Linked DNA regions of Mytilus edulis. The protein of the gene in region 1 interacts with the protein of each later gene in a biochemical or structural test. Links are inferred from orthologs where the notes say so. Each region holds a gene or a part of one and is shown on either strand. Other genes may lie near its edges.

The links. The genes of interacting proteins can lie anywhere in the genome.
Region 2: of the proteins of DDB1- and CUL4-associated factor 1-like (region 1) and uracil-DNA glycosylase-like, one has a biochemical effect on the other in vitro, tested with the Homo sapiens proteins (2 studies listed by BioGRID, with this or other methods). The link is inferred for Mytilus edulis from reciprocal best matches to the Homo sapiens genes DCAF1 and UNG.

The regions. Positions count from the first base shown.
Region 1 is NC_092344.1:96,407,757-96,415,417, forward strand, and holds the start of DDB1- and CUL4-associated factor 1-like, read left to right. Parts: upstream 1-4,650; 5' UTR 4,651-4,737; intron 4,738-6,070; 5' UTR 6,071-6,104; coding exon 6,105-6,214; intron 6,215-6,598; coding exon 6,599-6,675; intron 6,676-7,661. UniProt on the Homo sapiens protein: Acts both as a substrate recognition component of E3 ubiquitin-protein ligase complexes and as an atypical serine/threonine-protein kinase, playing key roles in various processes such as cell cycle, telomerase regulation and histone modification.
Region 2 is NC_092347.1:84,815,847-84,823,764, forward strand, and holds the start of uracil-DNA glycosylase-like, read left to right. Parts: upstream 1-4,912; 5' UTR 4,913-4,921; coding exon 4,922-5,062; intron 5,063-7,918. UniProt on the Homo sapiens protein: Uracil-DNA glycosylase that hydrolyzes the N-glycosidic bond between uracil and deoxyribose in single- and double-stranded DNA (ssDNA and dsDNA) to release a free uracil residue and form an abasic (apurinic/apyrimidinic; AP) site.

The DNA.
Region 1 (7,661 bases):
TGGCTAATTTGCATTTATTATTTTTGAACTTCTCCTTATCTCTAGATTTTGAGATAAATACTTTCCTAAACATTTATACACATTTAAATTTTCTTGTGTAAATAGCCATAAAAACTTTGAAAAATTGTCTAAAGATTGAAAATTATTACAATTTAGAGAAATTTCAGTAAAAAACTCATTTCTGTTATCAATATATAGTGGACATTCAGTTACAAAGTGTATCTCATCTTCAACTTTATTTAAAGTACAATATAAACATTTTCTCAGTGTCCTATTCACATAAAGTTTAGCATATCTATCAGTCTTAATCCTTAATGGATGAGAGCTTATTCTAATTTTACAGATTGATTGTCTTAATCTAAAATCTTTTAGATCCATATATTTTTCAAAACAAAATAGAGTTTTAAAGGAAAAATAGGTAGTAAGTTTACCTTGATCTGATTGTAAAACTTTATTTCTATTTTCCTTCCAGAAATGGAGATCTAGCTTATCTTTGATAAATTTTGTGAAAGAGTAGATACTGGTTTTTAAATTACATGTTTGTATGCCCAGCTTTTTAAAAATACAGTCTATACTTGAAAACCATGTATTCTGTAACAAGCAAACTGGGCTGGATTAATTGTGAAAATCAAAACACAAGTACCCCAATAATATTGCAGGAAAGTGCACATTAACATGACATATATTAACATCATTTGAAAATTTAAATACACAAAAATATAAATGATTACCAAATACTCTAAATGCAGTGAAACAACTCCGAGCTTAATATTTAGGGAACATTGGATAATTTGTTTTTGCCACTGTGTTTTCAGTTTATTTTCGACTTGACAGTTTGAGTGTCACTTTGGTATTTTCGCCTCTTTTAATTTCCTGCAACCTGCCTGCTTTCTTTGTTCATATGTTTTTTGCTTTTTTTTTTAAATACTAAGTAATACAAATAGGCCGGACATACGAAATAAAAAAAAACAAACATAAGTAAAATTTGTTTAATCTGCTCACCGATATCACCTATACTGGCAATAATAAAATGGTTGCTTATCTCCTGGTACATACATTCTTTTATTCGTGTACCATAGGCTAGTAGTGTGGACATATAAGAGAATAATCTAGACATCATAGAGATCTCTGTTGTCCCCACTGTAAATAACGTGGGGTATGGATAAGCTGATATGAAGCACTTTTTAAAGTTTTTACATAGTCAATTATTCTATGTTTTTTGTTAAAGTGTTATATTTGGCAATTTAATAATCTGACTGTATCCTGAACTTATTTTCATAGTATAATTAAAGTGACATGACTGCATGGTGTGGCAGAAGGTTCCAATTCTGGATAGTGCGTGAAAAGAAGGATTGTTTGTACACTTCTGTTTTGGTGTAGCTCTACTTGTCTGTTTGAACGTCTGGTTTGGTTGTCACTTTCTACTAAAGTACTGTCGGTTTCTGGTATGGGAATCATGATATTGATGGCCTTGTACGTGATCAATAGGCGATGGTCTATAGTGATTCCAAGTTAAGAAGTTGAATCATGTTTGTGACACGTTCAGGGCTTTTGTCTCTGTAGTTATTACAGTCATAACGGGCTCTCCCTTTGTACTTTGTCGAGTCTGTTTAGTCATTAACTTTGTATGGGTCTCATTGAGCAGAAGCGTACTCCGCTGTTGGTCGGACCATGGATCTCTGTTGTCAAAGTTCTCGGACTGTTCGGTTAAAATCTCTAAAATTTTGGCGCAAGAATACTCGTTTTGAGGCTTTGGCTGCAGTCTCTATGTGCTTTTTCTGACTCTGTAAAATCAAACCAAAGAAAGATAACAGTATTCAAATAAGGCGACAAAAAGAATGTGGACGACTGTTCCAATTTAAGGCACAAAACATACCAACTGTGTCCAAGAGTCTTTTCACAACGAGGACTGTATTATATATTGTTCCAATCAATATAACATACTGTGTTAAATCCAGGATATGTTTTAATACTTAGAATGTTCATTTCTTGGAAAGATAAACTGTATTTTAATTAAACCTTTTTATTCGCACGACGTACGTTTAGTGCTTTTTAAGGTTTGAATAAGAAACTTAATTTAACACTTGTTTGATTATATTATATAGTAAATTATCTATCAATATAATTAATTTTAAACAAAAAATCTTAAAATTCAAGTTATTCTCAGGATCAAAACGCATGTAAATTACAGGTTAATTCGCGTAAACGTAAAACTATTTCGTGAAAAAAAATGCCTGTCAATCGTATAATAAAAAAATAGACATCATTGTTACAATACTGATTCAGGTTAGGTTGTAGGTTGGCGCCTGTTAAGACTGTTAAACCCGCTTCGTTTAGTGTGTATTTTAATTTAGACGCCATCTAATTAATTATCGAGTTGACCTCTAAAGTAAAGTAATCCGATGGCCATATAAGCTAAGTAAACATAAATATAGATATGAAAAGATTAACCAACTCGTGCTGTTGAATTATTCTAGGTCTATTTGATTTCATATTATAGTGGAAATAGTGTTTTCGTCGTTTTTATCTGTATAAGAATGATGTTTTGTGGATCGAATCAGTCAATCAAATGTTTTACCTTTGTTTCACTTTCAATGTTGACATTCTTTTCCTTTAAAAAAAACTTTACACATACAATTCACGTGTTATCCATCTCAAGCTAAGGAGTTAAATTGAAGTTCACATGAAAACGGATTCAATGAGGTCGAATTATTCACTTGCAAGTGAATTATTCATAATCGATGTTTATTGGCTTATTTTGACAACATTTAACCATACTGGCGGCTCAAGCCGAATTATTATTTCACTATTTGTATTTCATTAATGATAGAGCAAAAAAATATATTAGATTTTTCATAGATTTCGTAGCTAGTGCCTCTTTAAGCTGGATGTTCGGACGGTTGTCATGTTTTGGGATTTTTGTCAGATTCTCAATATCCTATGGTTTTATCCATTTGAATGCCTTAAAAAATTTGCCCATTGACCCCCTATTTTTCTTTTTATGGATCTTTTACATGTATTATTATAAGCCATCTGTAAAAGTCTTATAAAATCTTAGTTATTTGAGAATTGAATGCTTCTTTTTGTAACTTCATTGGGGTGAAAAAGCGTTGACCGAAGCATTTTGTATGAAGCGCTTAAGCGCTAAGCGCTTCATTCTAAAAATGTGCGCACGGTCAACGCTTTTACAACCCTATGAAGTTACGGCAAAAAAGAAGCATTCAATGCTTATAATTACGTTTTTTAAGCAAGAGCATAAAAACACGAATTTTATCAAGTTTTATTTCATTTACCTGTGCACTTTATTGTGGGGCCTCGTGTCATCATGAATGATAAATTTTATTGTGTAATGAAACTGCTTAAAGAATAACGCGAGCTTGCAGAGTAGCCAATCAGAATCTCGTATTATAGTGAAAACACATCTAATGTAAAAAAAAAATAATACTTTTTGAGAACTTTCAATTGTCAATGATAATGCTATAAAAAATAAAGAGAGAATATTTTCCCCGCCAAAATTTCAATGGCTAATATCTCGAAAAACAAGCACATTGACTTATATATATGTTTTGCTTTTTTGGTTGCTTAAGTAACCCCATATCAATATATTCTAGTGTATTGAGAAGCTTGTTATTTTTTCTGGAATATTATTTCTATAGGAATAATTATTACAGTATATGTTCCTAATGGAATAAAAGGTATAGAATATGAGTGACAATGTTTATAACAAAGTTTCCATTGGAACTTCTGTTAGGCGGAACAAATATAAGTTTACAAAATAACCACTGCCATATAATAAATTTGGTAAATGATTTGATGGTACTTTGGGAGTAATAAGTGAGCGATAATATTAAAGCAGATCAAGTCAGTGGCGGATCCAGGGAGGGGTTCCGGGGGTTGGAACTCCCCTTTTTTTGGCCGATCAATGCTAGGATGAAAAATTTTGTCCTGCATTTTTTTTTAGTTGTAATCTCTGTCCTGTCTTTTTATTTTTCACTCTATTCGGTCCTGCTTTTTTTTTTTTTTTTTTTTTAGTTTATCTGCCTTTTTTTTTTTTGGCAAGTGTCTCATCCTGCCTTTTTTTTTTTTACTCAAAACTCCTGTCCTGTCTATTTTTTTCAAATTTCATCCTAGACCCCCCCATAAAAATCAAATGGTAGCTCCCTAATTATAGATCAAAGTACGGCCTTCAGTAAGTAAATCGAAGGAATACGGGTCATTTTTAGCCATATTACTGCGAGTATACACCTTATCGCTATTTGTCCGCCATTGCTGGAAATCACACAGGTTCCCGTAAAATTTTGACGTCATAAAACAAAATGTCTGACGCCACAATGGAAAAGTGATTGTCGTTGACGTCAAAAGTTCAAGCGGACGGGTCAGCCGGGAATAGCGATAAGGTGTATTACTGCGAGAAAAAAATCTCTAAGGTGCATCAATCGGCGGTCCCTAGTTAAGCCTAAGGCTAAAAGGAAAAACACAAACACAATCTTTACATTAATAAAGATTTTATCTAATCTTTATTAAAATCCCACAAGAGAAGAGACATATATGATTACATGTGGACACGAAACTAAGACTCGAAAAGGTGTTTCTTACTTTTAAATATTCCCGCCAAATGCACAATTATTTTTATGGTAAAAATCCGAAAACCGATAGAATGGCTTTTCCTATTACTTTCGTATTCAAAAAAAAAAATAAAGCATGAACGAAAAAGATTGCGGGAAATTTGTTATTTAGGTAGCATAAACATGATAAATAAGAGACAGTTTTCAGTGAAACAAGCAGGAAAATTATATATAGACAAACTAAATGTTGTACTGTCGACTTATTCACATGCTGTACATACTTGTAATCTTTGAAATGCTTACTTTCTCTGTTACTGTAACATAACTAAAAGTTGTTGTGAAATTCACTTTACCAGTATTTTAAATTGACCATACTTTTACATTCATATTAAGATATATGTTGAAGCTAGGACCGAGTATTTTAACTGACACCTGATAACAAGTAAAAAAAAATGTTGACATTCAATGATAATGGTAAAAAGATTGGGAAAACCCCTCAATGTAACTTATGTGTAACAGGGAGAGCATTTCGGAAAATTTCGAACGGGATGGTGAACCTATATACAGAAGACACGCTCATTCCACCAGACATTATCCTGGAACTTAAACATCAACGGTTTCCAATTACCAACTTGCAGAACCATGAGGAAAGAATTGTTCTATCCAAGAATAATAAGGGACTAGACTACCACTTACCACCTCCAGTGCAGGTAGTCTTGAAAGTTTCAAGACTCACCTACATGAGACGATTAGACCACCGTCATGGGTGTTTTTAACCTCACTGTATACACATGTAGAATGTACATTTGTATAGCACAAAAAATGTTAACATAATTTTATCTAAAATATTTACATGTGTATCCAAAAAGTGACAAAATAACACAGGCACTTGTTTCTGTCAATAAGTCGTTTACTATCCATACCCGTACAAAAGTTTTTTAGTAAACCCCATATTGACAGAAATAAGTGCCAGTGCAAATTAATCAGTTTTGTTGATGGTGGCCGCAAAATGGTAGAAGTCGAAGTAGAAGCATGATTCTTCATACAAAATCATCTTTGTCTTCTCCAGGACTTGAAGCCCAGGACCACTGTGTTACAAGGCAGTGTGTATACTGACTAAGCTTAACAAATACTACTGTTGTAATCAGAAGTTTAGACAAACATAGAAAAGACCCATTTGATTTTAATGTTTTGTCATGTTTAAAGTAATACTAATTTTTTGTTTAGTTCACTACAGATTTCTTCTTGCTATACATTTCATTTTTATCATGAAATCTATAGACAACATTAGAATTGGATGCATTTCTCTCAAGAGGTTTTGTTTAAGTGAACATCATTTGTGTGCTTAGGGGAACTGTCACTTTTCTTCCCATGTTGAGTGAGTGGTTTAAAAAATATGATTCTACCAACAAAGGGATATTTGATGTTTGTTGTTTATACATCTATATGTATGTCATGGGAAGCACTGCTACAATATATAACATATGTTGTTTTTATTTTTGCAGGTTAGAAATATACATTGTGTTGTAGAACAGAGATATGGCTGCCCTAGATTCATTGACTAAATTTAATGGTTTTTTGGATGAATGGATTACAAATGAATATCGTAACAGACTTGACAACAATGAAATCATTAACATGCTTACAAAGTAAGGAATACCTAATATATGTTGAGTAGATATACAATAAAACAGAGAAACGCTCTTAAGAGTTTTTGAATATACCGCTTTTCTCAACTACTAATCAGATTGACTTACATTTTGTACTGTGTATCTAACAGTTGTGTACTTAGATGAAAAAGGTTATGATCAGGTCTTGAAGCAAAGATTCAAGTTCATTGTATTATATCATACCAGTTTCATTTTTTTGTTGAGATACATTGCACCTGCATGAATTATACTAAAATACAATTTAAGTGTAACTTTTAATGATACAATCAATTTCAACTGATAATTGAAAGAAATACATGTATATATCAAACTGTTAAAACTAACACGTAATCACACTTTATTCAATAAGCCTATTTATTACAGGTTATCAGATATTATTGAAAGAGAAACAGAAGAATTTTACAAGATGGACCCAGATCCTTTTGATGATAGACATCCAGGTATATTTTCTCCTATGGATTCTATTTAACTTTATGATCTGTAGGGGGTCAGGAGGAAACCGTATAATGAATTTATCACACACAGGACTATTTCTCCAGCATTTTGTAGAAAAAATGGTTTCCGGATAATAACTTTAGTATAAGCATATAGAAAATGTCAACACAAGGTTTGTAACCACTAAAGGAAGGTTTGAATTGATTTTTGGGGTAATGGTGACTAAATGGTCCCAACTGTTTAGGAATTAGGGACCAAAAAAGGGGCCCAAATAAGCATTTTTGTAGTTTCAAGACAATAACTTGTGTTAAATCTCTCTGAAATTATACCACAAGTTTCCATACTACAAAGGGATGGTTAAGATTGACTTTGGGGGTTTATGGCTTAACCTTTTAGCCCCAAAAACCGCCTGTAGGGGTGATGGCGACAACCATTCTTTGATGGCCCATATGACCCTCAATACTTTTTTTGAAGTGCCCAAGCTGAACTGTCATGATAACAGGGACTTCAACCAAGCAGTTCATGATTCATAAACTCTTCTCAGATGTCTGTTTATGAAAATATGGCACTTTGAAAACCGTTTAAGAGTTCAAAATCAGATAAACGTGAAAAGTAGCAAAAATCAGGTGGGGATGGGCAACTTTTGATGTCCACTACGCAACTGGAAGTGACTGTAGGTATAAATAATTTTCATAAATGCATGCATAGGTGGTACAGGAACACAAAGAGGTAAAAAATTGCCAACAGGAGTCTTTCTGTAAAATCTAGGTCACTGTTTTGTCAAAGTGTTGAGGAAGGTAATCCAAATCAATTTTAAAGAACAATATTTGATTACCTCCCTTACACTGCTTGTAAATTATGTATTAAGAAATGATGACTGTCTTGAATTGATTAGCTGTCAATTTATTTTTAGCAGTTCCTATTTATTAATATTAATTTTAGCCATGACTATATATGTCATTTTATATTTTAAAACTTATATGATGTATTT
Region 2 (7,918 bases), on another chromosome or scaffold:
GGAACACTCAAAACCAGAAATGTGAAAGAAAGTATATATAACCATCCAAAATTGAGAATAAAACAGTCAGCAAATTTAAAAGCTGGCTCAGGATTGATAAAATAGCACTCAAGGAATGTTCACATCATAAACAAAAGTAATGAAGATTACCAAGAGTAACAGCTCTTCTACGAAATACAAATGAAGGCAAAGTCATTCTATGCATTTCCAAGGAAGATAACTTTTCCAAAGAATGAAGTTATTTAGAGGGAGGTTATTTTAACAGATAGAAACCAGTAATCAATCATCCTGAAAACTGCTCAAAGCACTTTAGAGTAATGGTTTTGAAAACTGGATCCCCCTTTTTTATGAATAAAATCCCATACACAATATACTTCAGAAACTTAAAATATTAAATTTACAAAAAGTGAAAGTGAGCTTACATCCATAGATATATAAACAATTCACAAAAGTTTCATAATAAATTGGTTAAAGCCTCTGAGTTTTTTTCCAACATGTAAACTTGACAACTAACAGACAGACAGACATAATGACGGACAGTTGTACACCATAATGTGTCCTGTAAAGGGGCATATAAAAACAGATATTTATACTTACTTAATTTACAATGTGTAATTTAATATAATGATTAAAACAGATAAATCAGTTATAGAGGTACATGTGGTAAAAATTAAAAAAAAATATCATTTCAAATTAAAATAATACATTGTAAAAAATAGGAACTTATCAGGATTGTGTCAGATACTTCTTGATACCTTTTTTTTTTAAATTAAAAAGTGTTTAAGGACTTTACTACACATTTTTTATAGTAGTTTTATAGATATAAAGATAACATATTTTTCTACACATTGGTCTCCTGTTAACCTTGTTTGTTATCTAGGATGATAAGTTATTATTGTGTCTTTAGTGAAAACAGGTTTAAATGTATGTACAGAAAAATTAATGAGTCCTCGGTAGGATGTAGGACGAGAAACACTAGGCTTTAAACATATATTTTGGTTCTTCTGTGACTAACTATGGAAGTAAGATTAGTCTTTACATTTAAACATTGTTTTAAATTTGTATACATTTTACAGTAGAATTTGTACAACTGTGGTTCCAATTACTTGTCATTTTTCATTCAGCACTGTCAAAGTCAGAGTGTCGCTCCAATAGACTCAATGTTACAGTAAAAAAAAAAAACAATCAAAACTAAAAACAAAATTCCTACCTACATGTACAATGTACCTATCAAAGAGTACCCTAACTTTTTTAAATGTAACTGGAAATGCACATACTATTTTATTTGGCCCTAATTTGGTCCTCATGTGCAAAAAGTGTCAATTTTGACGTTTTTATGTTATTTTTCTCGACCAGGAGGTAAGAGGAATGCTAATAGATGCATCCAGCTATTGTTTAGATGTAGAGTGGACCCCAGTGAACACATTTATCACAACAGTTGTTAGATTAGAGTGAAACTGATCTGGGTAAATCAGTCTAAAAAAGGTCGTTTGCACCAAAATTCTAAAAAATTCTGATTTCAGACCTCGAAGGTAAGCCCACCACTCAAAAAAAACAACACTTTGGTCTGATTTCAATTTTCCAAGTTTGTATTTGAGCTCAAAATGAACTTTAAAAGTGAGAAAGATGACAATTAATTGTGCAAGATTGAGGAAACATGCATACACTTCCAATTAAATCACTGTGCTTAAACGGCTGTGGGTAACTTAAGTTACCCACAGCCCAAGATGGAGCCGCCTTGCGTCGGTTAGATACTTTTCTTCTATAGAATAACAATACCACGAATGCATCAACTTAAACAACTGAATTTAAAAGTTGTATTAATCGTTTAGGGAAACCCCTAAATTGGAAAGGTGATTAAATTCTACAAAATAAACGATCACAGCACGATTTTAAAAAACACTTAGGCTGTCCGTAACTTCAAAACAACTTGTCCGTAACTTTTTTCATCATACCAATAGAGATGTCCGTAACTTTCAAAGAATCGACATACGCGGATGTAATGTTTAAACTGATGATAGAGATTGCATCGAATACATATTCACAAAACGAAGTAGATGTCTAGTATGATATAATTCATTGTATCGATGGAAGACAAAATTGGGAAAATATGAAAAAAATCACGATAAATCCGCAAAACTCTCATTTTGTATAACGTCGGGGTACCCGAATCGCCTAGTTCGGAGGGTTGTTTCCGATCATAGCAGATAAACTGTTGAAACATCATTGTTCGTTTTTATTTTTGAACAAGTAGACTACACAAGTATTTTTTACACATACATGTAGCATGTATACACTTACTGATTTTCTGCCAGCAACGTTACGACAAGGGTAGCGTGAATTCGGGATTTTGGAGGGGAACCCAAATTGCCCAGGCATGCAGTGGATAGACTATACGAGACTTAAGTGCACAAACTTTTCCCGTCTTTTTGAAAAAGCCAAAAACACTTTTCTCTCATCCCCACACAAACAAATCCCATCAGCATTGACAGTAAAATAAAAGGGGTGTCAATCTGGACACACTGGGACGTTGCGCACGGTGATATTGCGGCACCCTGGCCAAGATTTACAGTAAATGGGAAAACTTTTAAAAAAAAAGGACATTTTGTATAAATGAATAAACCTAGTTTTACAGCTAGCTGCATATTTCATTTGTATGCAAGTTGCATCAAATCTCATTAAACTGAATAAAACTAAAAGACACAATAGGTAAAAGTCAGTGACAATAAAAGGAAAAGAGCAGTCAACATAACTGTAACAATTCGACATAGTATATAAAAATATAAATAACTACGTAGGACAACAGGGTAATTTAATAGTCTAACAACCCCTGATAACATACAAAGAGAGAAAAAAAAACATACTAGGAAACATATTCAAAAAATCATAACACTATAACTAACTGGTGGGATGTATAAATACCGAGCCTCGTCAAAGAGTATTCATCAAAATACACATAGAAAGAAACAGAGGTGAAGGTAAACCGCAAACATATAATTAAACTCAAAACATTAAAGAGTATGGAAAAGCCTTGGTCTGACAAGCCAAAAACGTCGATAAGACGCACATCAGTAAATAAAAGTTCAAACCATAACCAGGATGGAGTACCACAAACCCCACATAAAACTTCTGTGGTGTAAGTATGATGCGTTGATAAAATCACATTTGGTGGTGAATGAGTAGTATAAACGGCCGCGAAGGTTACAAATATGATGTTAATTGTCTTCTAATTTTAAAATTTTAAATCAAAAGTTACCCACATCTAAAAATAAAGTTACGGACAGTCTGCTTAGTTTCGATAAAAAAGTTACGGACATATTATGCATTTTTTAAAGTTGACCTTGCGCTTTAGTGAACTCTATATTAACAAATTTATGGTAATTGTTAGTCATTTCTTTATTCAATAATCCTATAAAGATTTACATTCTGCATGAAAAACGTCGCAAAAGGTACATTTTGTATGAATTAAATATCAACGAGTTTAGAGTCCGCCATCTTGGGCTGTGGGTAACTTAAGTTACCCACAGCCGTTTAAGCACAGTGTAAATGGCATGACGTTGACCTCAAAATGTTTGGAGCGTGCCAAATAACAGTGCTTTGGGTGTGGCCATAATATTACGGCCCTCGCATGGTAAGGGTTAATTTTTGCTCAAATTTCATTAACAGATTAAAAGAGAAGAAAATAATATACACTGCAATTGGTATATATCTCAGTTTACATCAAATAATTTGTGACCTGGTATATTCTACATGAATTAAATTATATTATTCTATTTACTGGATATTCCTGAACTGTACATCTTGATCTTGATATGGTTACACAACACATCAGACAGACATTTAAAATGTTATAAGCATTGTGCACCCATCTAAAAGCAATACATTTGTATATCCAAATGCCCCTAGCTCACAATATCTCTTGTTGAAAAATGTCCAGTGGTGCTCATTGAGATCCAGTTCTTAAAAGTATTTGTGATACCGATAAAACTAAATTTGAGTGATTCTCTTGATCTGGTTGGTATCCAATAAAATAATCAAATTATACCTATCGCCAAATCATATACATTTATCATACATCAAATGTAATTTGTATACTGTTTATGCTTTTTTAATGGAAATTGTGATGTCACAATCAATCTAATAAACACAATAAATGTAGATTTTTGGGTTTACTACACAAAGATATCATAAAATATCAGCCGTGAGCCACAATGTGAACTTTTTGGGGTGAGTGAGCACAGCAAAAGAGCTTAAAAGCTTCAAGTTGTGGAGCATACACAAAACCAAATTCATCTGTTTATCGTATTATTACCGTCTAACTCTTTTTTCCTTCTCTAAGAAAGTTTTATGCTTGACAGAAACAAGCTTAATTACGTCTCCTCTCACATTGAAACGTCGCTGATAACTTCTGCTTAGATGTCATTGTGACTTCGCTGATTATGCCTGGTCTCAAACTCAAAGCTGTGATACAAGAATAACTGATCACTGATTGAAGGTGCAGGGAAGAAGATAACCAATAATACAAGGATATGCAGGGAATAGGTGATGTTTAAAGTATATTAAATAAATGTTTAATCGTTCTAAAAAACGCATGAAATATTTGCCACTGGACTTCAAGCAATCTAGTATGTTTGAAAATAGTGATTGTAATTATTCTGCTCATTCTAGATTGGCAAACAAAAATATATACATGTGTTTGTTTATATGTGTACATATTTGTTATTGAAGCATCTTACTTCTGTTCAATCTTTTTACTGTTTTAATGATTCAAACTTGTTGTTTCCTGAATCGTGCATGTGAAATATTTCAGAAGCGGATGTAAACAAAAATAATCCAAGTTGTTGAAGTTACACATGCTATGATTGGATAATTTCCCTTAATTCAAAGAAGCACAATTTTGATTAGGTGAACCCGGAGGTCAATGTATTACGCGGGAAATTTCCACATGGTTATCAATAACAACATTCAACTCCTTAGAATAATAATGAATAATCAAGCAAAGATTTCAACATTTTTCACAAAAGTTTCACCTGGAAAACGGCAAAATACTGGAGCTTTAGAGGTACATGCAACAAGACAAGTTTATTGAATTTAACCCTGATTTAACCTATTTAGCTATTAAAATTTGAGTGCCCATTATCTCAAATTATTATATCTGATCTTATCTAGGGCAAAATTATATATGCTTATAAATTACGGTTGATGATTGATTCAAAATTTAGAGAAGCCATTTTTATAAATTATAGTGTCATACATGTAAGTTTGTGATTTGACACACTGATAAATCTGGGACCAAGAGATAGTTGCATGTACTTAATTGTCTTTGAAAAACAATACACCTTATCGCTATTTGTCCGCCAATACTGGACATCACAAAATTATATATATATGACATCAAATTTTTATGGGAACTTTGAAATAGTAAATAGGCACTGGCTACGGTTACATGGAAATGTAACAATAATAAAAAATATTATTGTTACATTGGAGAGTAAATGCCGGAATGCATGGTTGGGTAAGGACCGGCTTAATTACGAATGTAACAATAATTATTGAGGCTACGGTTACATTGCGTTATTGTTACATGAAAAAAGCAATGCACGATGGGACTAGTAATATGTACTAAATAATGAAAGTTGAGGACATTTATTACATACATTTATAACATACAATTTATTTACTGTAATTTTTTATTCACAATGACAATTTCTACAAATCCAGTAAGTTGTTTTTAAAGTCCGACACATTTTTGATGAACGAAATTACGTCCTCCACGCATACGTGTACATACAGAATTTCTTAGTATTTAAGTTACAGTTAGCAAACTTTGCTTTTGATTATCAATTTGCGTCAAGTTATAAAGCTGTATGAAATGTATGTCTTGATATTCTTTCAGTTTCATTTAAAACGCATCCCAAGTTTTATTTTTTTCACCATAAACAAAATTGGTCCAAAATATAATGACAGTAATAAGAGTAGGTGTGCAGTTAAATACTTTAAAAAAGTGAAACCATTGAACTATATTTTTCGCCTTTGACAGTCACACTCCTAATCTTGAGTAGTATCTTTAAGAACATCAAAACCATTAATACGTAGTAAAACTATTCAAGTTGTACACCATTTGTTGAATAATAATATTTTATTATTTATCAGTATTAAACTACAAGTAATGTTTGGTACATATGAAATAATGAAGCAATACAACTATAGAAGATTTAAGTTTAATCAATCTAGCGTACATTGCTGTTTTTCATGTAACAATAAAGTAATGTAACCGTAGCCTCAGTAATTATTGTTACATTTGTAATTAATCAATTCCTTACCCAACTTTGCATTCCGGCAATTAGTCTCCAATGTAACCGTAGCCAGTTCCTAGTAAATATCTGATGCCACAGTGGAAAAGTGATTATTGTATATATGACGTCAGAAGTTCAAGCAGGACAGATTCTTGGGTCCAGCGGGACAGATTTTCAAATGACAAGGTGTATATACTTGATTATAACACTATGTACTTATTTCACTAATAATTTTTTGAGAAATGTCACACGGTCACGAACTTGCTTTAAATTTTCATTCTGCTGTTGTCTATATCTTTGAACTTTGTTAAGTTGTAATAAATATTATCTTAGGAAATACATTGTACATGTAGTGCTAAAGACACCTATTTCTGTTGTCAGAATAAATCATGGCAGACCTTCCAAATACTTTTTTTTTGGTCAACAGTAAGTTATTTTGTCTTCTCACAGCCAAGTGGCAAAGTTAATCATTTGTCACTGAAAAAAAAATAATTGGAAAACCAAAATCAGGGTTCACACTTAGACAATCGAGTCATATTAGTCAACAGAACTCCTAAAAATCTGTCTGGATTCATCATTTTCAAAACTGGTATTTACAGTCCAAGGTTTGCATTAATATTGTAAGATATTGCATCAACTTTGCCATGGCCTTAAATGAGGAGTCACCAACATTGCAAGGGCTGTAAAGCAAGTCAAGGTCGTTAAACACTTCCATCATCAACCCCTTATATTTTTTTTCAACATGATACTACATTAATACATGAACATGTGTAGTAGATATAAAAACAAAAAAAGTAATGTATTTGGGTAGAGTGACTTAACAACATTTTTTAGTATTTCCCTATCCATGGTACAATGGGCTCCATATTATTTTACGGGTAGGTCTTTTCACCACCGCACACTGCCGAACACCACCGAACACCCCAAAAGTTTATTACTTTGTCTTTTACCGTTATAAATGTGACTTAAATATAATATTCATGTTAGGCCACCCTTAAAAAAATGTTTGTTTGGCATTGCCGACCCACACTATCAGCAGGTGGGTAGGTAGGTAGGGATTTTTTTTATTTTTTTACATTTAAAAGCTTTATACATGTAAATCATACAGTCTCTAGATCAATGTTGTCTAAAAGATTGCAGCATTGTTGTGTGTACATGCTGGTGGTTTCTTTGAAAGAGGTCAACTGTCAATTTCACATTCTACATCATGGATAATTTCATGTAAGACAGTCAGTTTTATTGGCAGAGTTAAACAAAGCACCCAGAAAAAAACACAGAACTGAGACAGGAAACTGACAAATTAACCATATAAAATGTATGACGTGAAAAATTAACTTTTATTGTGGGACTGTCCATTGAACAGAGGCCTGATGTCACATCTTGAAGTTGTGGTCACAGTTTGGTAAAATTACCATAAGTTAAATGGCTCAACCACTACGGCTCCTTGTACAAATGGACAAAGATTTAAAGCTTTGATTGTTTGCTTTGGTTTTATAAACATCACTTTCTACAACATATGGGTAATTTCATGGCAGTCAGTTTTAGTGGCGTACTAAACCGTAGTACTTGAAGGAAAACGCCAACCTGCAGGAGGAAACTGACTAAACCTTATCACATATGAC